3 linked regions of the Nothobranchius furzeri genome follow. The protein of the gene in region 1 purifies or fractionates together with the protein of each later gene. This does not show direct contact. Links are inferred from orthologs where the notes say so. Each region holds a gene or a part of one and is shown on either strand. Other genes may lie near its edges. The genes, in order: srprb, rnf185 and srpra.

The links.
Region 2: the proteins of srprb (region 1) and rnf185 purify together in Homo sapiens (affinity purification with mass spectrometry; 3 studies listed by BioGRID and IntAct, with this or other methods). This does not show direct contact. The link is inferred for Nothobranchius furzeri from reciprocal best matches to the Homo sapiens genes SRPRB and RNF185.
Region 3: the proteins of srprb (region 1) and srpra purify together in Homo sapiens (affinity purification with mass spectrometry; 6 studies listed by BioGRID and IntAct, counting the BioPlex papers as one, with this or other methods). This does not show direct contact. The link is inferred for Nothobranchius furzeri from reciprocal best matches to the Homo sapiens genes SRPRB and SRPRA.

Annotation. Positions count from the first base shown.
Region 1 is NC_091753.1:42,152,125-42,159,603, forward strand, and holds srprb (signal recognition particle receptor subunit beta), read right to left. Parts: upstream 5,040-7,479; 5' UTR 4,820-5,039; coding exon 4,678-4,819; intron 4,414-4,677; coding exon 4,319-4,413; intron 4,242-4,318; coding exon 4,164-4,241; intron 4,079-4,163; coding exon 3,996-4,078; intron 3,802-3,995; coding exon 3,665-3,801; intron 3,553-3,664; coding exon 3,498-3,552; intron 3,150-3,497; coding exon 2,936-3,149; 3' UTR 2,360-2,935; downstream 1-2,359. Other genes in the region: wdr53 (WD repeat-containing protein 53), read left to right, coding at 943-1,436, 1,508-2,140; col26a1 (collagen alpha-1(XXVI) chain), read left to right, coding at 5,861-6,033, 6,145-6,264, 6,572-6,675. UniProt on the Homo sapiens protein: Component of the signal recognition particle (SRP) complex receptor (SR). Ensures, in conjunction with the SRP complex, the correct targeting of the nascent secretory proteins to the endoplasmic reticulum membrane system.
Region 2 is NC_091746.1:52,067,623-52,075,101, reverse strand, and holds rnf185 (E3 ubiquitin-protein ligase RNF185), read left to right. Parts: upstream 1-2,489; 5' UTR 2,490-2,583; exon of another isoform or gene 2,584-2,852; 5' UTR 2,853-2,913; coding exon 2,914-3,098; intron 3,099-3,937; coding exon 3,938-3,956; intron 3,957-4,044; coding exon 4,045-4,157; intron 4,158-4,282; coding exon 4,283-4,337; intron 4,338-4,652; coding exon 4,653-4,770; intron 4,771-4,854; coding exon 4,855-4,952; 3' UTR 4,953-5,587; downstream 5,588-7,479. Other genes in the region: chemerin-like receptor 1, read left to right, coding at 1-775; transcription factor Adf-1, read right to left, coding at 5,702-6,405, 7,312-7,441. UniProt on the Homo sapiens protein: E3 ubiquitin-protein ligase that regulates selective mitochondrial autophagy by mediating 'Lys-63'-linked polyubiquitination of BNIP1.
Region 3 is NC_091753.1:25,185,047-25,191,594, reverse strand, and holds part of srpra (signal recognition particle receptor subunit alpha), read left to right. Parts: intron 1-16; coding exon 17-100; intron 101-219; coding exon 220-383; intron 384-2,097; coding exon 2,098-2,258; intron 2,259-2,332; coding exon 2,333-2,492; intron 2,493-2,572; coding exon 2,573-2,720; intron 2,721-2,816; coding exon 2,817-2,947; intron 2,948-3,048; coding exon 3,049-3,170; intron 3,171-3,733; coding exon 3,734-3,820; intron 3,821-4,065; coding exon 4,066-4,238; intron 4,239-4,366; coding exon 4,367-4,580; intron 4,581-4,791; coding exon 4,792-4,955; intron 4,956-6,238; coding exon 6,239-6,337; intron 6,338-6,484; coding exon 6,485-6,548. UniProt on the Homo sapiens protein: Component of the signal recognition particle (SRP) complex receptor (SR). Ensures, in conjunction with the SRP complex, the correct targeting of the nascent secretory proteins to the endoplasmic reticulum membrane system.

The sequences.
Region 1 (7,479 bases):
ATGAAGCCAGATTAGCTGTCAAGAGTGTTAAAACTAGTCCAAAATATAGTATGACAATAAATATGAAGTTTTAGAAATAGTGATCAGTTAAGAGCTAAACCAAATGAATATTAACTCAGATTTGTCCTTCGTTCAATCTGTATTACATTTAATTTGTTTTATATTACTTATCACTGTCACAATGTTGAGTGTTGAACTGGGACCCAAATGCAGGTGGACAGGCAGCAGACTAGCAGGCAAAAGAACAGTTTAATATGGATAATGGTAGGTAGGGTGGCAAATCAGGTTTGACACGGTGAGAATCTGTCAAAGACAACACACCAGCTCAGTGGCCTAGTGCTATGAATGTCTGCCCTTAGACTGGGAGATCCGATTGGGGTTCAAATCCCTGGTTGGGTGGTCATATCCCAATGCCTCCCCGCTTGACACTCAGCACTAAGTGTGGCAGAGTTCCCGAGTGCAGCAGTGTCTGCAGCTCACCGCTCCCCACAGGGATGGGTCAAATGCTGGGGAGAAATTTTGCCACACCAGTGTGTGTGACGTCTATTGGGACTTTAAATTTTAATCAAGCTCGGGGTATACATAAATCAAGTAGGTACGATAACCAGGGGCAGATGAATCCAATAAACACTTGAAAATGGAGACAAGAGCAGATCCTGACAGTCTTTTTTGTGTGTACAGTAGTAAATTGTTGTTTATTTAAATTTCTTCCAGAAATCTACAGTATATTATAAATTAGTGACTGGGATCAGTTGTTCATATTTATAAAGTGAAGAAAAGTAGTGGACACTTTTTTATGTAGTTTTATTTATTCATTTTTTCAGTTTTTTTGTTTTTGGTAGTAAAATACAGTTTTTTTTTAAGTCCTTCTTGGTTAAATGTAATGTTTGTCTTTATTTTAGCATGCTACGTTTACTTTTCTCCTGATTACATTTCATGTAGGCAGTATGGCCAAGCAGTGGTCGGAGGGCCATTCCGCCTCCATCCTTTGCGTCAGTGCGTCTTCAGGCCCAGAGGGTCTCCTTGCTTCAGGTGCTGAGGGTGGAGAGGTGACCATTTGGGGTCAAGATGGTGGCATCATTGGCCGTCTTACTCTTCCTGGAGAAGAGGATATCACCAGCGTGATGTTCTCACCTGCAGGCCCAACCCAGCTGTTTGTGTCACATGGGGACACGGTGAGCGTGCTGGACCCCAAGAACCTGAAAGGACCTGTGGAGGATTTTCAGGGAGCAGGCGAGGAGGAGATTAATGCTTTAGCACTGAATGAAACCAGTTCTGCCTTGGCAGTGGCTGATGACTCTGGGACGGTGCGCGTTCTGGAGGTTCCTGGTGGGAAAGTGTGCAGGACTCTACGTAGACACACAAACATCTGCTCCTCAGTGGCCTTCCGTCCTCACAGACCCAACAACCTTGTGTCTGTTGGGCTGGACATGCAGGTGAGGGAATCATGTTTGTTTTCAACCGCTGCACAAAAACTGTAAACTAGAAGAGTTTGTTTTTGATTCAGGTGATGCTGTGGGGTCTGCAGAAGACTCGCCCTCTTTGGACCATCAACCTCCAGGATGTGGCCGAAGAAGACGGCCACCAGCAGCGTCCGGGCCAGCTGTTTAACCCACCACTGGCCCACTGTGTTTCTGTGTCCAGCTGCGGAAACATGTTGGGTTGCGCAGCCGAGGACGGCCGGGTGCATCTGATGCGGATCGGCAGTGGCTCTAAATTAGAACAACACGGGGCGATCAAGGCACACAGTCAGGGAGCTTCACAAGCTCATTTTGTTAGTTTCCTTTCCCACCCTTACTGGCTGGTCACAGGAGGAAACGACAGCCACGTGGCCCTGTGGGACCTCAGTAAGCACCCGGTTGTGTCTCCAGAGGGAAAAACTCCAACAACAGCTCCTCAGCGGAGGAAAGGCAAGGTCAAGAGAAAGGACCAGACTCTGGATAAATCAAAGCTGAAAGAAGAGGCCAAGGTGGAAGATGAAGCATCTGCAAATGAGGAAGAGGAGTCTGGACCCAAACTGAGCATTAGTCATGGGGACAAAGTGAACTGGTTGTGTCCTGTGGTTCTGAAAGGAGAACCAAATGTGATAGTGGCAGATCAGAGTGCTAATCTAACGGTCTATCCGCTGTCTCAGCCATAGATTTATGTCTTCTTCTGTTGACTTGTTGGATTATTTTAACACTCGGGACGTCTGAGCAAACAGAACACCACAGATCAACAGCAGACAAGAATCACATAAATGTGATGTGAATGAAACATCAGTCCTTAACATAAAAACACGCTGTGTGGTATTTTAAACATGTCATCTCGTAAAATAAACCATTTGTCTCACACTAATTACATTTAAAACAACCACATCTGACTGGAGAAACATGTTTTTAATGTTTAACTGAAGTTTGCAGCTCTTTTTATAGAGTGACAAAACTTCTGAATCCACACCAGATGTCAGAAAACAAAAGCTCAAAGAAAGCTGCTCTAGAAGATATTTGAACACAGCTATTCTAACAAAAAACCCACATCTGTCTTGAGGGAGACACGTTGCTTAAAACATACACAACTTGGTTGAAACGTAAACGCTTGAGGAGAAAACGTATTTTTTGTGCTTAAATGTTAATCAACCTGTCTCATCTGTTTTTTTTTTTATTTAATAAAGAAGTTTGATTCAAACTTAAGCGCAATAAACTTATGTTCTTAAATTCACTGTATTCATATATAACACTTTCAAACAAGAACACTTATTCTGCAAACTTAACATTTTATATGAATAACAAAGACTGAAATGCTGCTCGTGCTCATCTATTTTCAGTGTTTCACAGCTCAGACAAGCTTTAAGTAAATCTGATTACTTTTACACGAGGACAAATGTCTTTACGTCGGGCAGGGTGACCCGTCACTCCTGTTGAAGTTGTACGCCGATTGTGTCTCGCTGCTGATTTTATAGCTTAGCCAGGCTCTTCTCCAGGCTCTCGATGTCCGCTTCCCCCTCTTCACCTTTGCTGCTGCTCCGGGCGCTGCACTCCAGGAACTCCACCCTCATGGGCAGTTGGCTGAACTCAAAGTCCTTGCCTTTTTTCCCAAGATACACGCTGCCGCCCACAGAGCCGTCTTGAGCACTCAGGGCTGCCGAGCGAGTCACTCGCAAGGTGTTTCTGTCAGAAAAATGACATTCTCAGAATTCCATTCAGCAGTTTTAACCCTCAGGAATGAGTTTGATGTTGACTTTGATTTGTGTAATGGCCAGGAGATTTTTAAAAAGTGCTGTTAATGAGACTAAATGGGATATTTATTTATCCTCAACGACTAAAGAGGGTTGTGAATTTTTTTGTCTGAAGCCACTCAAAAACAATATTTTGTCTAGAATTACATCCTAGAAAGATTGCAGCATCTCCCTCATTCGTGTATTTTTTAATAAATGTGACTTCGCAATCTCTCTTAAAAGAGATTATAACAGTTGTGCTAAAAATAATCAGGAATCTGATCAAATTAGGTTTACTTACAGCTCCTTTTCCAGTTGATGTTGAATCAGTTTAGCTGATTTGGCCATGGTGATGTCTATCAAAATAAAAGCAGCAGAAGAGTTTCCAGTTTATAGAAGAGCGGTTTAGTTTGACTGACGCAACGAGGTGATTTAAGTTGTTTATTTAAAGTAAACAGGTTGTTTCACCTTGTTTGTTGCACGCCACCAGAAGAGTCGGGGCGTTTCTGGAGATCACGGTGTCCGTCAACAGCATGTACAGAAACTCTGCCACGTCCCTCACTTCCTTCTGGAAGATGGCACTGTCTACAACAAACACAATGGCTCTGCAGAAAGAAAGGGTAAGATTTTAGAGTGGTGATGAGAATGGGCTCATGAGGAAATAATTAGGCTTGATTCTTTTTTGGTTTTAAATCCTATTTAGTGGAAAAGAGTTGTTGCATTGCAACAAAACTGTGCACAAATATGCTAAAAGCACCAATGAAGAGATTACTGAACCATGCACTTATGCTGTTCTCACCTGGCTGAAGACTTGAACTTCTCCAGGTACTGAAACCGGAGACTATCGTGTCCTGGCAGGTCAATCAGTGTCCAGGAGCTGCTCTAAAAGTTATGGACAGAGCTGTCAATCATTGTCAACCTATAATAACAGTTTTATGCTTTGATGCAGAAGGAAAAGAAGACTTACCCTTTCATTTTTAGCTCTGTATGGCGCACTACTGTCAGTGATGGATGTCTGTGTCCGCTTGAACTTCCCTGACAGCAGCTGAAACAAATAAAACACTTTTAATGAAAAGGAAAGACAGTGCTAACGTGGCCATGGTGGTCCCAACATCAACTCACCCTAATAAACAGGAGGGTTTTCCCAGAGTCACATAATCCGACCAACAGAATGGCACTCTGGACTGTTTTACTGGTTAGAAAATACTTCAGGAAAACTAAAGAGGAAATGTGGAAAGGATTGTTATTTATTCAATATTTTTATTAGCTAAAACCGAAGTTGAATGACTCCTTACACTGTTGCAGCTAAGAGATATTATTTTATTGTTCTTGCGTGTTAATTGAGCATTTTGTAAACACACTGAAAACGTTTTTTCCAGCTTTACTGAGAAACCCGCTTTGAAACGGCATGATACTAGCCTACACGCTAAGGCTAGTTTGCTAAAGCTAGCATGCTAAGCTAACTTACGGTTCCTTCTTACCGCAGGTGATGACAACCACCGCTAAAGCTACGATTACTCCGATCAGAATTACTGGGTCTTGGTCTTCAACTTGCTGACGGAGAGATTCAATAAAAGGCTCAAACGGGTTTTCAGGTGAGTCCTTGTGTGTTTTTTCGCCCATGTTTCCACTGCTGCTGTTCGTAACTGAAATTGGACACGTCTGCTTCCTGGAGCCTGTGGCGAGCTTGAGTGAACAGCAGAGGGCGCTGCAGAGCTGCTGCTCAATAATAATAATCACATAAATATAATAAGAGTTTTCTCTCGGAAAAAATGAATATCACTTTCGATTTTATTTTGTTTTACTTTATGAACATTAAGAAGTAAGAGACATGTTTTTTCATGTTTTTACAAATCCATTTCCCCAAATAAAAGTATGAAATATGTGATAACTCTGAGATAATAATTCAACTATCTATATTTTTTGGAACGTACATTTTAATAGGAACATACTGTAAAAAAGATAGCTTTCCCCTCTTAAACTAAGTAGACATTGTAGGCCTCACGTGAAGGGAAGTGAAAAGAGATTATAAATAAAAATTCAGCTTTATTTCTGAGTTTGGTGCATTTATTTATTATTTTTATTTTTAATAATTGTAAATCATCTTAAACTGTATTATATGTAGCTAAAGGCGAACTACCGCATATAGGTTAGATTTTATTGGAGTCCTTTTGAAAAAGCGAACAGAAAGTGTTTTCTAGTCCTCATTTATTCCCAACCTTGCCGATGTTTCTGTAGAAGACCTCATGTGAAAACAATCAAGGTATAAATGTGAAACAGACTAAAAGCATGAGTTTTGTAACATGGAATCTTGTTATTTTATTTTTGTTTTCAATTGAGACCAGATGCGTTTTTACGCACGTCTCCAGCCCTCACAGTCTGCACGTTTTTTACGCACACTGGATATTTGACTCCTCGGTTGGATGTCAAACGTCAGAGAGAAGTTATTCTATAGGAAATGGCTGAGTGTCCTTCATAACGGGCTCTTGAGGGGGGCAGCTTGTTTCTCGTCGGAACAAGAAATGACAAACCCCCACTGATGGATTCAGCGGGATCTGCTTAGATTACTCCTCTTTGTGAAAGTACTGTAGTTTTTTCGTCATTAAAGACGGATTTACTTGAAAAACATCGACTTCTTTTGAATATTTCTGTCATTCAGAGAGCATGGCTTTGTCTTACCTCTACGCGCTGTGCGTGTGGGTGAGTTTAGTGTGCGCTTCCCTCGGAACTGGGTTCATCTATCACTTTCCAGGCATCAGCCTGCAGCGACCGCGCATCAAGTCGGAACAGAGCCGAACCACGGGTCCACCAGGTTCTGGATCCCGGAACCAACTCAGGTACACTTTTTATTTACACTTTCTGCAAACTCTGTTGGTGTTGAGTGGAGCATTTTTTTATCGCACTGGTTACTTCCAGTTGCTTTTGATCTCTTTCATTGTGCATCGCAGGAACTGGTGCCAGCACACCGTCTCCAGGACTGTTCCATGTAAAGTGCACAACGGGACCGAAACCTCCGTGCAGAGAGTGTTGGGCTGCAGATGGCCGGGACCATGTGCCAAAGTCATCAGGTACCCTCCGAGTCCTCACTGGTCTGCCCCCTTCAGCTCCCAGTGCTGCTGGTTTCCTGTTTACAGTCAGTTAGGGAAATGAAGCAGGGCTCCTTTAGTGATCAAAACACCCTGAAACTGTCATGAATCATTTGCACCCATTCTGAGATTGAAAGGGTTGATCTTAGCAGAGCTAATGCTGTGTTGTGTATAAACAAAGCTAAATCTAAAACAGATCTTTGTCACTTTGATCACATCTGTGCATTTAAGTTTGTGCACATCTGGAATTTCCCTAAAATATAGCAGTTTTTCCCCTTTGTTCTTCCAGCTACAGGACTGTCATCAAGCCATTATTCAAGATCACCTACAAACAGATCACCTCACTGGAGTGGAGATGCTGTCCTGGGTTTGTGGGAGATGAGTGTCATGAAGGTGAGTTGATCTTTTCCTTTTTTGGGACAATTAAGCTCATTTTCCTTAACAGGTTTTGTTTGTCGTAGCAGCAGTGGACAGCTTTTCCACCATTAGAGCCCTTTTTTTCATTTGATGGTGTCGGTATGGAGAGCTCACTATCACACTAGTGAAGAAATTCTGTGAGGATCTTAGTTTTGTAGGTTTTTAACCTTTCTGGAAGATGCCTCTTCTTCTGCGTCATCTTCTCTCTCACTTTTATCCCTCTTTTACAACACAGTCAGTTTCCTTGCCTCCTTGAATATCATCATGGCTAAAACTTCCCAAAAAAGGAAGGAACAAAATATATTTAAGGGGCAGCATCCTGAGGGACGGCTTGTAAAGTAGCTGGTTTCTCGGCACTGGGCAGCGCTGCTCCATGAATCCCACAGACCGCAGACTCTGAGCTGAAAACAGACTCGGAGGGTCGAGCCACAACGGTCAGCGTGAGGAAAATGAGCCGGAGTTGTGGCAGGAGATTCAAGGCAGGGCTGCTTTCCTTGCATGTTTTAAACATCACAGGGACTTGTAAAGAGGCTGAGTGTGTTGCTGACTGACATTATTTAAAATCCACGCTTGTATGAACTGTTCCTATTAAAATGATTCAGCTGGCCTGGTGGCTTTTTACAGACATCTACTGACCCATTCAGACGAGTTTTGCTTATTGGTCATATTTACCGCTCTGCTCCGTTTTCCAGAATTCTTCATTTGGAGGAAGGGATTTACCACGGAAACACATTCTAAGTCTAATAAAATAAGCACAGACACGAACACACAGCTGCAGCC
Region 2 (7,479 bases), on another chromosome or scaffold:
TGTTTCAAACTTGTTCTTCTGTGTTTTTCTGCCCCTTGACATATTCTACATAATGACCTCACATTGGCCTTTTGGGCAAGTTTTGTGCAAACTCTCATCATCCGCTCTGTTTCTCAACATGCACAGCAGTGTGTTTCTGTTGGTTTTGATCAGCGCTGACCGCTGCATCTTGATTTTATTTCCTGTGTGGGCACACAATCACCGGACAGTGAAGAAAGCTAACGGAGTGGTCGCTCTCGTGTGGCTTCTCGCTGCCCTGCTAACGTTGCCCTCGCTCATCTTCAAGGAGACCAAAGTCCACGGTCCAATCATTCAGTGCCACACGGAGTATGGGAGTCGTTCCAGACACAAGGCAGTGGCGCTGATTCGGTTAGTCTTTGGATTCCTAATTCCTTGCCTGATGATCGTGTGCTGCTGTGTGGTGCTTGGAGTGAAGCTGAGAAGTTTAACCATCAGATCAAAAAAGCCTTATAAAATCATGGTGGCGCTCATCCTGTCATTTTTCTTCTGTTGGATCCCTTATCATACCTTCATTCTCCTGGAGCTGGACTTTAACAAACACAGCCTGAATGTGCTTGAATCTGGCCTGAAAGTGGGGGTCGCCCTGGCTGCGTCGAACAGCTTCATATCCCCCATTCTCTACGTTTTTATTGGCAGTGACTTCAATCAAACTCTAAAGAGATCGCTGACCTCAAGGTTTGAGGATGCGATGGCAGAAGATCTGCGTACAGCTGGTTACAACCAGTCAATGTCCAGGTCAATGGAAATCCATTAAAATTAGGCTGATACGTTTGTCTTTAACTTAAATTAGGCCTTTAGTGTGCCTAAAATGTAATTATTAGAGATGAGGAGAATAACCGTTTCTCTCATCAAAACAAATACTATTGTAACGGAGTTGAAAACAACTTTTAATCTTGTATATTAGAACAATAAATAAGAAAGGAATGAGAAATAAGACTGTTTCTACAACGTGAATGACTTTTGTTTGTTTTATGTTGTTTTTTTCATGTTTTTGCTAATTGAGGGTAAAAAAAAGAATGTGGCAGCATTTATGATGATTTATTTATAATTAATGTTATAAATCGTAAATTAATAATTTACTAACAAAAATAGATTGTGCCTTTGATTTGTGTATCTGTTTTCATAGAAATAGAAAAGAAACAACCAACTGTGATTGCTGTTGCTTTATGGGTGCGATGGATCAGCAAAAATTACTTTTTAGACATAGTGTCGAAATAAAATTTGTGATTTTTTAAAAATAAGCCTTACCTACAATAAACATTTACAATGATGAAATTTAACTCATAGAAAAAAATTAAAAAATACCAAATATGGGTTGTGCCTATACGTGAGGATTTATTTTTCTCAGCTTTGGGATTTGTGTAACATCTTTCATGAAAATAACTTGGTTTTTGCTTAGAAACAATACTGACATATTTAAAATAGTCAATAAACATGAATTTTAAAAATTAAAAACTAAGTTAAATAGAATATGCAAAATTCTGAGTTTAAGGTGCACATCAGTTTCTGCTCAAAATGGGTTAAATCATTCCAGAATATCCAAAAGAAATTCTCAAAAAAGCTGATTTAAAGTTTCATTCTTGATACGACAAAAGGAGCAAAGAAGGTAAAACCCTTATTTGTTTTATTTAAATTTTATGACTGAATTAACAATATACCATCTAGCAACTAGGGCTGCATGATAGAATAGATTGCGATATCGGCATGTGCAAAACACGTATCACAATGAACAGAAAACATCACAATAAATGGTCAGCTCAAATGCTTGCTACACATAATGCATTTTGTCAATCAAACAGAAGCATATGTTTTTGACAGATCAAATAGAGCCTTACCTATTTGGCATATCGGGTGGATTCTATAGGTTAGATGCCTGCCCCCTAGGCGGACGACACTTGACTTTGATGGCTAACATACAAGTTAGCTTTGTTTTGCTCTTTCTGCTGATTTAGCTTTTCCCAGGATCTACTGATTGCCTTGTCTTATTAGTTGTCTTTTCCTTTTTCCTCACATCTTTTGATCACAATTTTTGCTTTGCCCATTTTCTATATTTTTCTATTTCGTTGTATTTTTTATTTTTATTTATTTATTTTTGTTTATTTCTAGTCATATCATCATGGAGATATTAATCGCTGTTATCGCGCATTGCAGGTTTTCCTAATATCGTGCAACAGTACTAGCTACATGTTTCTGGGATACCCCCGTATGTACAGTCTATGGATACCCCTCAGACAAACATTATCTTGGCGCATAAGCAAAAAATCACTCTTATAGAAGGAATTAAACATCAGTCTACAACCAACTTCTTCACAAACCTATGTCAGAAACAATAAATTCCATAATTATGAGAAGACATTGTTTGTGCAACATTCTCCATCACAAGAGTAACTATTAGTAAGTTTTTTGTTTTTGTGTATCTACTTTTCTTTACGTCACTAATCCGGACACAAGGTAACCCCACCCCCTTTAGAAATAGCCACGCCTTTTAAAGAAACAGCCACGTTTTTTTTTAGTCCTACTCTTTTTTAGGGCTAACACCCTGCGGAAGTGTTGCAACCAGCTGTAAGGCTATTTTCGCAACAAGTCATAATTAAGTTTTAATGAGGCTATGTTACAAAATGTATGTTGAAATATTCCTTTAGCCACTGTAATAATTGTATATGTGGTTCGGTTTACGCCTCAGTTCGTTTAGCCTTTCTCCTAGCTTGCTAGCTGCTAACGGTAGCATAGCTATCAGATGACACAAAGTTAGCTTTTCCTTTCTTTTATTCAGGTTTCTTAGTGGGAGACCACTTCTGTCAGTTCCTGTCACTTTCTTATGTGTTTGACAGGAACGAACAGAGCCATCCCAACCGTATTAGCTTGAATATTGGACCGACTTTTAGCAAATAAATGGCCGCCGCTGCCCCCTCTCCACCAGTCTCTGGCTCCACCGTCTCGGCTCCTGAAAACTCCGGCCCGGGATCCAGTAGCTCGGCAGCGGCCGACGGAGGCAGCCAGGACAGCACCTTTGAATGCAACATATGCCTGGACACAGCGAAGGATGCCGTGATCAGCTTGTGTGGCCACCTTTTCTGGTAAGATTTAAATATGTTACTTATGTTTACATTGTGAAATCAGAAACCACCTCAGTTTTAGCGGCTGGACACAAGTGAACTAAACTCAGCAGTACAGCATGAACCAAAATGTTGTCTCCGGTTTTACCACTTCAATTAAACTGTGCGGAAAAAACAGTTTTAAGTTCTACCAGGTCTGTCTAAGAAGAAAGTATCATTTCTATAGCGCCTCTCAAGATAAAAATCACGAGGCGCCTATGAGCCATTTATATTCCTAACATCAATAATAAAAATACTTATTTCACAGTTTGCTTCAGCAAAAATGTTTGAAGATTGCACGAGAATACAGTTTCACTATTGTTTTTAGTGTTTTTCATTTTATATGACTAATCAGAAAAAGTTTACATTTTTTTAAAGTTCTGGAACATCTAATTAATCCTCTTATTTTGTCAAATAAAGTGGCAGTTGCCAATTTACTAGCTGATTAGGTAACTTATCTGTTTTCTTTTAGCTGATGTTTTTGTGAAATCCTTGAATCTCTTTCAAAACAACATTTTAGTCATTTTTATGTCCAAAAATTTGCTGATGAATTAGCAGCCAAAGTGGTCTGATCAGTGTTCATACAAAGTAATTATTTGTTAATTTTCTCTTAAATGTTATCCAGTATGTTTGAATTAGTATGAAATATTCAAGTAGAATTAGTGTTTATTTTTATTGTCCTTAATTGGGGTTTTTTTGACAAGCAGTTTATCTAATGTTTGTTTTCATGAATATTTTCCAATGTGGTTTTTTTTTTTTTACTAATCCTGTTTTTTTTTTTTTTTTCACTTCCATGAACTTCATTTGCTCCTGATGTTCAGCTGGCCATGTTTGCATCAGGTAAGCCTGACTTAGATTTTTTTTCATTTACAAAGATGTTCCCCTAGCTAACCCGTTGACTCGTTAACATCCGTTTATCTTCATGCAGTGGTTGGAGACTCGACCCAACAGACAAGTGTGTCCGGTGTGTAAAGCTGGCATCAGCCGGGACAAAGTAATCCCCTTGTATGGGAGGGGAAGCACGGGTCAACAGGATCCTAGGTAGATGCTAAAAAGTGTTGACATGATTTATTGTGTCATCACACTTCTACATTAACACACTTGTGGTGCAAGAATTATCATTATGTTAGTGTTTTACGGTGTATATCTGATTTGATGCTTCAAAGGGAAAGGACGCCCCCTCGACCACAAGGACAGAGACCAGAGCCGGAAAACCGTGGTGTAAGTACACAAACAAATACATCTGCACAGTTAAACCATCATTGTGAATAACTACATTAAGTTTCGTGTAAGCTCTAGAGTATTATAATGAGCTCATGATGAAACCGTGAGTCAAAAATGATGTAGGTGCTGCCGTTTAGACCTGTTTTATTCATGACTGAAAAGCCATTTCCCTCTGGGACCCATTACTAGTGAACAGCTGAGATAAAGCCCCTCATGAGAATCACTACAACTTTTACTGCTCATTGTGTCACACTTTTTTTTTCTTACTTTGTTATATGACACGTTTTCATTTTTTTCTAAAAATCCCTGCAGGGATTTCAGGGATTTGGCTTCGGAGATGGAGGTTTCCAGATGTCCTTTGGAATCGGTGCCTTCCCGTTCGGTATTTTTGCCACGGCTTTTAACATCAATGATGGACGACCTCCTCCAGGTGGTTACACATTTCCTCTGTGTTCTTTCATTTCTTATGAAAACAATTTACCCAGTAACTTCTGTTGAACTTTCACCCACACAGCAGCTCCTGGGACGCCGCAGCACACAGATGAACAGTTCCTGTCTCGACTCTTTCTGTTTGCTGCTCTGGTCATTATGTTTTGGCTGCTGATTGCATAAATGCATGGGGGGAAATGACAGAAGTGCGGCTTTGTGAGGTTTCCGTCTCTTAATCTTTGGCAAAGTTTGGACATTTAAACAGCAGGTATGATAAATGAACAGGCTAAAGGTTAAAGCTGCAGACTTTTTGCTGCTCCGAAGGAAAAAATGCATGTGAAGATCGGGAAGTTGTGTATTCTCTTCACTTCTTGCTGCAAAAATCTCAGAAATGAATTAATGAAAAAAATATATATTTTGACTCACTGGTTGAATAACTACTTTGTAATCTGCACAAGAGCAACCAGACACTGACTTGTGAATCTTCAGCTATTTATTGTGAAGCAAAAATAATTTTTTGCACAAAACTTTAATGCAACTTAATGATTCTAATGATTAAGATGTTTGTTTCCTGGAGAAATGACCAATAATACCTTTGTGTTTTTGGCCAATAGCAGCTAAGCTAAACCAGTATCTTAGCCGATTTTTTTAACTTCTTTCAGATGGAAGCGAAATTCAAAGAACTTTATTTCAAACAGTGTTCGTCTCCAGACTTTATAATCTTTTATTTCTACTCCAGTTTCTGTATTTCACTGTAATTATATGTAAAATATTGTAGACTTCATAATCAAAATGAAGAATGGCTGCTGGAAAAAACATGTTTCCGAATGTGAGTTTTTTTTTTCTACTGACGGTGAAGCTTTGTGTGATTTTAATTTGGGTTCATTAACTGTGTATTCTACAAAAGTGTGAAAGTGCAGGCTAGAGACAGTTCAAGATTTGTCCTGTGTTCCTGCCGCTGTCCTTTTCTCTTGACTCTCATCAGGTGAAGTGCTGAATTCTGCTTCATACATGATCTGCTGGATCTTCATCTTTGTTTCGCACCTGGTCTGGGGTGCGAGTCGTTTCAGAGCAGGAACGAAGCTCAGCAGAAACAGTTCGTCCTCGTCCCGCGGCCTGGACGAAAACGAGGTGGTGTGGTCTTTCAACAGCCATTTTGATTGGGAGTGTGTACTTTGAGGAGAAGAGGGTGATGGCGGCTCAGACATGATCTTTCGTTTCTGTCCGTTGTTGCTGACCGGGATCACCTGTGGGCCGGGGGGGGTCTTGGCTACGACGGCCAGCTGGATATCTTGAGACAGAGCAGGAAGCTGCGTCACAAACGCCACCTGGGGCTTCGCCTCAGGCAGACTCAGCGCTACCTTAGTGATATTCTGGGGTGTTTTGACAGACTCGGACAGAGTGGTTTCCTCATTTCCCAATACGTTGTCAGGGTTTTTACGTTCTTCTTCGGTGTTGCCACACATGTCAGTCACACCAACCCTCGATCCAGTGAAGGGGGCAATAAAGTTCATGAGCTGTCGGTATTTCCATTTACTTTGCACAAAACCCCCCTGCTTCTTGGTTTTGATCTCTAGTCGAACTTCCTTCAAGTATCGGTCTCTCAAATTTTTCCATCTTTTTTTGCACGCATCACCTTGAAAAGATAAGAGTCAAGTTAGCCTACTGCACAAAATGCACCCTAGATGTTCAATACAATGCACACTGAGGTTCGAAATGCTAATGCTGTGGTTAAAGCATTGGTGATCGAGTAGTCCTTGAAATCAAACAGGTGAGCAGATGATTATGTTTGTGAATCTTAGTCAAATTATAATGATAAAAACTTCAAATACGTATAATATTTGTGTCTGGGAAGGTTTGAGACGATCTTAAAACTTTTTGGTGTTTATCCAGAAAAAAAATCTGTTTACTAAAGTTAGTGGTGGTGAGTTCAGGTGAACTGGGTTTAAATATCTTTTTGGGGCCAAAAGGCAAAACACATTTTACCTAAGTAAAAACCAGGCGGCATTGTTACATAACTGTTAATGTTGGGTCATCGTTTTTTTCTTCGTGTTAAATCTGTTTAGTTGCCGTGTGGTAGTTGCCCTTTCTTTGGCCCTGAGTTCACGCTCCTGGTTCTGGTTCCGTTTGAGGCTGGGGGGCCTCCGTCCTGTCGCGCTGCCATGTTTTATCCTACGCACCGTTCCTACGTGGCTCCGTTACCGTCTGTTTTCTATTTTCGGGCTCATGTGTTGAAAAACACGTAGTTCATTAAAACTATTGGGCCCATGACGCACCGCACGTCTCCTTGCTTCCTCCGCGGCTAGCTTCGCGGTAGCGTCGGACGGTGCGTCGCGGCCTACGGCGTGCGGGCAGCGGCTGCTACCGCTAGCACGGCGCGCGCGGACACATCCACACCACTGAGCTGCAGTAAAGCACACAAACAACTTTTAAAAACATGATAACTGTTATGTTTATAAACTACGCTTCGTTAATTGCTCACCAAAGACGACAGCAGCTGAGCAAATAATCGGCGGTAAAGTTGTGATAAACAAATACTCACATGGGACACCCAGTGCCATGCTGATGTCTCTCCACGCATTTGCCCGACTTTCAGTGCAACGGTAATTCGGCAAAGTGACATTATATAACTCTGGGTAATTACAGACAGCCTGTATTAACTTATGGTCCATTTTCCTCTGTGTTTTGTGCTTCTGCGAGTGTTGCGCGG
Region 3 (6,548 bases), about 17 Mb from region 1:
TTCTGTCTTTCTACAGGAGCGCGGCGGGAACAATTCATTTACCCATGAAGCTCTTAGTCTCAAATATAAACTGGACAATGAGTTCGAGTTGATTTTTGTGGTAAGTCACTGATGAGCATCCAGCCAACTCCCCATCTCCCGGTATTTATGATTAATTTCACTGTTCCACAAATGGTAAGTCATTCTAACTTCAGCCTTGTGGTGTGCTGCTGTGTGCAGGTGGGTTTTCAGAAGATCCTCACGTTGACGTACGTGGACAAGTTTATAGATGACGTCCAGCTTCACTTCAGGGATCGCTATAAGAATGAGCTGGAGCAAAAGGGCACTCTGAAGCTTCTTAACAGCACTTTTGCGTTTGAAGATGCATTCAGCGAACTCCTCAAGTAAACAAGACCAATCTGACTTTGCACACAGCTTCTGTTGAGTGTAAAAGGGTCCTTTCAACTAACCTGGTCCAGTTAGTGTAATAGGAAATTTCCAGCTACATCTAGACCTGATTACCATCAGACCTGTAAGATTAAGAAACTACTTTAATATGACCTGCCTGACAGAACAAAGTAGGCTGAAACGTCTAGCAATGTTCAAAATCAAAGGAACGACATCGGTTGAGGTCAGAGTTAATGTTTCAAAAGTGGAAAATACTTGAGAATCCCGCTGATCAGGTTCCTGATTGTCTCCAACACATGCTACTCCAGGTTGCTCATTTTCCCCTAAAAGAAAAACAGTCTGACATTTGTGGTGTGGTATTTTACAAGTGCTGACAGCAGATTTTAAAGCAGCAATACATTCAATTCAAGTTCAATTGAATTCGAGTTTATTTATAAAGCGCCAAATCAGGACTAGAGTCGTCTTAAGGCACTTCACATGGTAAACATTCCAATCCAGGTCAGTTCATTAAGCCAATCGGTAAAATGTTTCCTATATAAGGAACCCAGCAAATTGCATCGAGTCACTGACTAGTGTCAGTGTCTTTACAGCAATCCTCATAGTAAGCAAACATTTAGCGACAGTGGAGAGAAAAACTTCGTTTTAACAGGAAGAAACCTCCAGAGGATCCTGGCTCAGTATAAGGAGCCATCCACCACGACTCACTGGGGATCGAGAAGACAGAGCAGGCACACACACACACACCCCAAGTAGTGTTTCTATGGCTACATTGTGATTTCTTAGTAAATATTCTATTTGGTGAGAGGTAAACTTTATTGTATTTATCCTAGTGAATCTATAATTAAACAGGTAAACTAGTAGTAGCACATCCAATGTCAAAGAAAGTAAAATGTTATTATCAGGAGAGGGAGAATGTTTAAGTGGTTAGCAGCAGTATTCAAGCCAATGGCCCCCTCCACGAGGCCACCACAGCTCAGCAGAACATCGTCGTGGCTTCTTCTGGGGAGAAAAACACTTAGAGAAAAAAATAAAGTTAACAGCTGAAATAGCATTCCTTGCTTCTCCCTCCTACTGGTTGAAAGCAGAATTGTAATTGCTGTAAACAACTCTGCTGCAGCCTGCTGTAGCTAGCGCTAACATTAGCAACTGCTACTAAATGGAAACATGAAGCAAAACTCTGTTGGACAAAAACTATTATGACTTACAAGTCTAGTAGCAACAAAGCCAGGTCATCATCAGTCTGTGATTTCATAGCCTCCTTCAGACCATCGGTGTAGATTAGCTCTTTACACTGGTGGGGACTTATAAATCTACCCCTTTATAAGTCAAAAATGTTTCAAATATTTCATGTGTCAGGCTTTAAATGATAAACTGTCTCTAAAGATAAAAGTCTGAATGGAAGTTGGCGAGCGAGAGAGAAAGAGAACCATGTGACACTGGAGGAATTGTTGGCTCTTTGAGTCTTGTGTGGTTATGTGTCTTAAAGTGGAGAAAGTTCAGAAAAGGGTTGAGTGATCATAGAAGACAAATGAAAGATAACTTTACAAAGTATCGCTATTGCCAGGTGAGGAAAGGATGGATGCCTCAGCTGAGACAGTATTTTATGCCAGCAGACAGTCGGATGTGTTAACCGGATGTAAAATCATCTGAAATGATGTGTTTCACTAAACTAAGTCTTTCTTTGTCCTGACCAAAATCAACCAACACAAGACTGGCGGAGGAGAGCAGTAAAGCTCGGAGCCCCGTCCCCATGAGGTCCTTTAAGGAGTCCGAGAAGTCCCAAAAAACTGTGAAGTCAATGATAGAGACTAAGGGTGGAGACAAGGGCAAGGAGCAAGGTGGTAAAAAGAGTAAAAATACCAAAAAGGAGGGTGAGTGCTGTTTGTTACGAGTTGTAGTTCGCATGTTTGGTTCGTTGCTTCATTCAGTGGCGAATGTGTTGCAGCTCCTGCAGTTGAGCCTATCAAAGCTGATCAAGGCAAGATCACAGCTGCTGACCAGAAGACGGTTGTTAACGGCAACCAGGGCTTGACTCCTGAGGAAATCATGCTGAAGAAAAGGGAGGATTTTATCCTCAAACGCATGGGAACGTGTGAAAAACCCAAGTATGGCAGCTTAATTAAAGGTTTAAAGTCAGATAGAAAAGAGGATCTTGTTTTTAATTGCTTTCTGGTTTTGTCTACAGAAAGTCCCCGAAGCCTCAAAAGCCAAAGGAGAAACAAAAGCGCGTGTGGGACAATGCTGGCAGCAGTGACAAGAACCTGGACTACAGCGACAAGAATGGAGCCGGTTCTGGAGATGGAGAAAAGAATCTGGAAGCACAGTTTGACCCAGTATGTTCCACCTCTAAAGAGCTTGCTGTAGGAGCAGAAGCGTCCGCTTCCCTCACGATGAAGAGGGTGCAAATAAAGTTCCTGAATGTGTTTTAGGAAATGCAGGTCAGCTCTATGAAAGGAGACCTGCTGTCTGTGGACTACGACTCCAGCGAGAACGGGGAGGAGGAGGAGGAAGAAGAGGAGGAGGAGGAAGAAGTGGTCATTAGGGGAACAAGCAAAATAAGGTACTTTTTTTTTACTTTATAGTTGAAAAATAAATTGTCAAATCTCAGTTGTTAACTCTTCTTCTGCCCCCCCCCCCCCCCCCCCCCCCCCCCCCCAAAAGCCCTAAAAAGGGTGGTGGTTTTGGGGGGATGTTTGGGATGCTGAAGGGACTGGTGGGCTCCAAGAGCCTGTCCCGGGATGACATGGAGCCAGTGCTGGAGAAGATGAGAGACCACCTCATTGGTAAGATTTTTTTTCCACCCACTCTTTGACTTCTGCAGACTGCAACATTTCATTCTTTGCTAATCAAGGCTGAGCAGTTGAGCAAAATTCTATTTCGAGTTTGATTTTAACTCTAAACTTCCACAAACAATTGCAGAAAACACATTTTACTCAGCAGAAATGATTCCTTTCTAATTACTCGCATTTTGCCCCTTCTGAAAGTTAAGCTCATGTGTTTGTTTGTTTTTTGGCAGAACAAGGGTAAAACACACAGGCATGGTGTCATGCACCCTCCTTTTATCAGTAATGACCCCCACACAACCCATTAACCTTTTTCTGTATGGTTCTATTTCCAAACAGCTGACCAAACACATTTTTTATTTACCAACTTCCTGTTTGGACATCTGGGCTCCTGTAGCACTTCTTCTCTGTTTTAATAGCAATGCTGTTTGCACTTGTTTTTATTCATGTGATAGATAAGTCAGGTTGAAAATTGAGGGTTTATAGTGTCTAAAAGTCCAAATATCAAAACAACATTCCCCCTAAACTCAAACTGGTCTTTGTTTGTCTTTATGATTCCACAGCAAAGAATGTAGCGGCCGACATCGCCTCCCAGCTGTGTGACTCTGTTGCCAAAAAGCTGGAGGGCAAAGTCATGGGCACGTTCACCAGTAAGTACCCCATTTACCCCGCTCACAACTTAAGAATGACCTTTTGGATCTAGACTCTTTTACAACAACAATGATCTCAGTTAAATAAAGCTGGTCTGTTGTGACGTCATCAGATCCAGTTTGTGATCACATTTTATGTCAATCCATTATAGTTATGGTCTCTAACAAATGGTGTGTGTGTGTGTGTGTGTGTGTGTGTGTGTGTGTGTGTGTGTGTGTGTGTGTGTGTGTGTGTGTGTGTGTAGCTGTGGCCTCAACAGTAAAGCAGGCCCTGCAGGACTCTCTGGTGCAGATCCTGCAGCCCAAACGCAGGGTGGACATTTTGAGAGACGTCATGGAGGCCCAGAGTCAACGCCGGCCTTTCGTCATCACATTTTGTGGTGTCAACGGAGTTGGGAAGTCTACCAACCTGGCAAAGGTGACTTTGATGGTTTTATGGTACTTCTAGCTTGTTGGAGTCTATATTTCTAGAGTTGTTTAGGACTTGAGTGAGTGACTGAGGGCTAGTGTGGACACGAGCATAAACTCCTCCCTGTCCTGGTGCAGATCTCCTACTGGCTGATAGAAAACGGTTTCAGCGTGTTGATTGCAGCGTGTGACACCTTTCGTGCTGGAGCTGTAGAGCAGCTTCGTACTCACCAACGCCGCCTGAACTCGCTGCACCCCCCGGAGAAGCACGGAGGACGTCCGGTGGTCCAGCTCTACGAGAAGGGCTATGGGAAAGATGCTGCTGGGATTGCTATGGAGGCCATTGCTTATGGTAAAATATTTAGCCCTTTTGTTGGTTTATCTCATCCTGGCCTGCCAGACTCGTCCTCTGTCTACACAGAGAACTTCCCATAAGGAAGCATGGGGCTGGCTGGTCAGGCTAGGTTTATCTACCAATGAGTCATTAATCTCCAATAATGAATCAGTGATTTCCTCTCATGGCTGTTGGTAAAAGTCCCTCTTTTGTTTTGCCTCTCCATTAGCTCGCAACCAGGCTTTTGATGTGGTGCTGGTGGACACCGCTGGGCGTATGCAGGACAACGCCCCGCTGATGACAGCTCTGGCCAAACTCATTGCAGTCAACATGCCTGATTTAGTGTTGTTTGTTGGGGAAGCTTTGGTGGGCAACGAGGCAGTCGATCAGTTGGTAAGATCACCGATAATCTTAAATGACTTGGTTATACGCATTTCTGTTGGTGGCTAAATTCAAATGGGTAGTTACAGATTTCCATTCGGGAAGTTTATTAAAAAGTGTAACGTCTTGTTTTCCAGTAAAAACCAAACTGCTGATAGTTGATCGTTTATATACGGCTGTGGATGAAATCATTGGTACATTCTCACTGAAAGAAAATCACAGTGGTCGGTGAAATACCTCGAAAATGGCAAAAGTAATAAATAAATAAATAGAATTTACTACAAATTAAAAATGTATGCTTTTAATTTGGGATTTAACAAAGCAAAATAAAACTGGCCATTTGTGAGGAAGTCACCGTGCCTTTTGGTATCGGGGTGTGTACCACACTGGTTATGAAACACCGAAGGCTAGAGGACCGTGTCCAAGCAGCTACAGGCTAGAAGATCCTCTCTAAACAGTGTGATGTTTCTATGGTTACAGGCGTGTATTATTCAGAGGTTTAAAGGCCCACAGGTCTGTAGTTAATCTCTCTGGCTGTACACAGTCCAAACCTTGTTGGCAAACTAAAGACACGGATACTGAGTGGTCACCAAAGACCTTAGAACTCCAAAGTCTAGGCTAATCATTGTCAGATCACTCCATCAATCCCTGTTTGAGCCAGAGAGAAGACGACTGAGGAGGACGCCAGTGTCTCAGTCGCTGTATTGGGTCCTCTCCTCGGTCAGGATAACAACCAAAAACACTTTAAAGCCTCTAAGAATGCTTCAGAACCACACATGGAGTTATTCTGAAGTGACGTTCTATGAGTCCTGATCTGAATCTGGTTGGATATCTGTGGAAGGAGCTGAAACATCTGGAACCCTTCAGTCTGAGACAGTTGGAGCAGTTTGCTGTTGAAGAATAAACCAGATGACCTGAGAAGTGGTGCAGATGTCTCACGGAGTTCCAGAAATTACACGATTCTCACAAACAGCAAATCGGTGGTCCCATCATTTCAATCCAGGACAGTTTCATTACCTTGTTGAGTCTGGCAGACCAGGCTATCATTCAATATCCCTGAGATTGTTGGACTGTTGTCATGGTGACGGCAGTGAATAGAGATTTGAGTGTTTTGGGTTCCTTATGATAACTGTCCAGCAGAGGTCAGCATCACCCCCTTTTAGCTGTTTTTCTGTTGATTAGTTTGTGTTTACACAGGTGTGTGTGCCTCCCTTCCCCTTCCTTTAAATAAACATCACCGGCCTTTTCAGCCGCGTCCTGATCAAATTTCACCTGCATCATTCTGTTGTCCTCAGGTAAAGTTCAATCAGGCGCTGGCAGACCACTCCATGTCTGACAAGCCACGCCTGATCGACGGAATTGTTCTCACGAAGTTCGACACCATCGATGACAAGGTTTGATATTTTAGTTCTTCCCCCGCACTACTGGTGATGTTTATGAACGCAGTCTGGTGTGTTTTTGCTGCTAATGTTTGTGTCTGGCTCATGATTTTGCAAGTAGAAAGCAATAGCACCTTGAGCGTCATCTCCTCTTCCTCACAGGTTGGTGCAGCCATCTCCATGACTTACATCACAGGCCAGCCCATCGTGTTTGTGGGAACAGGGC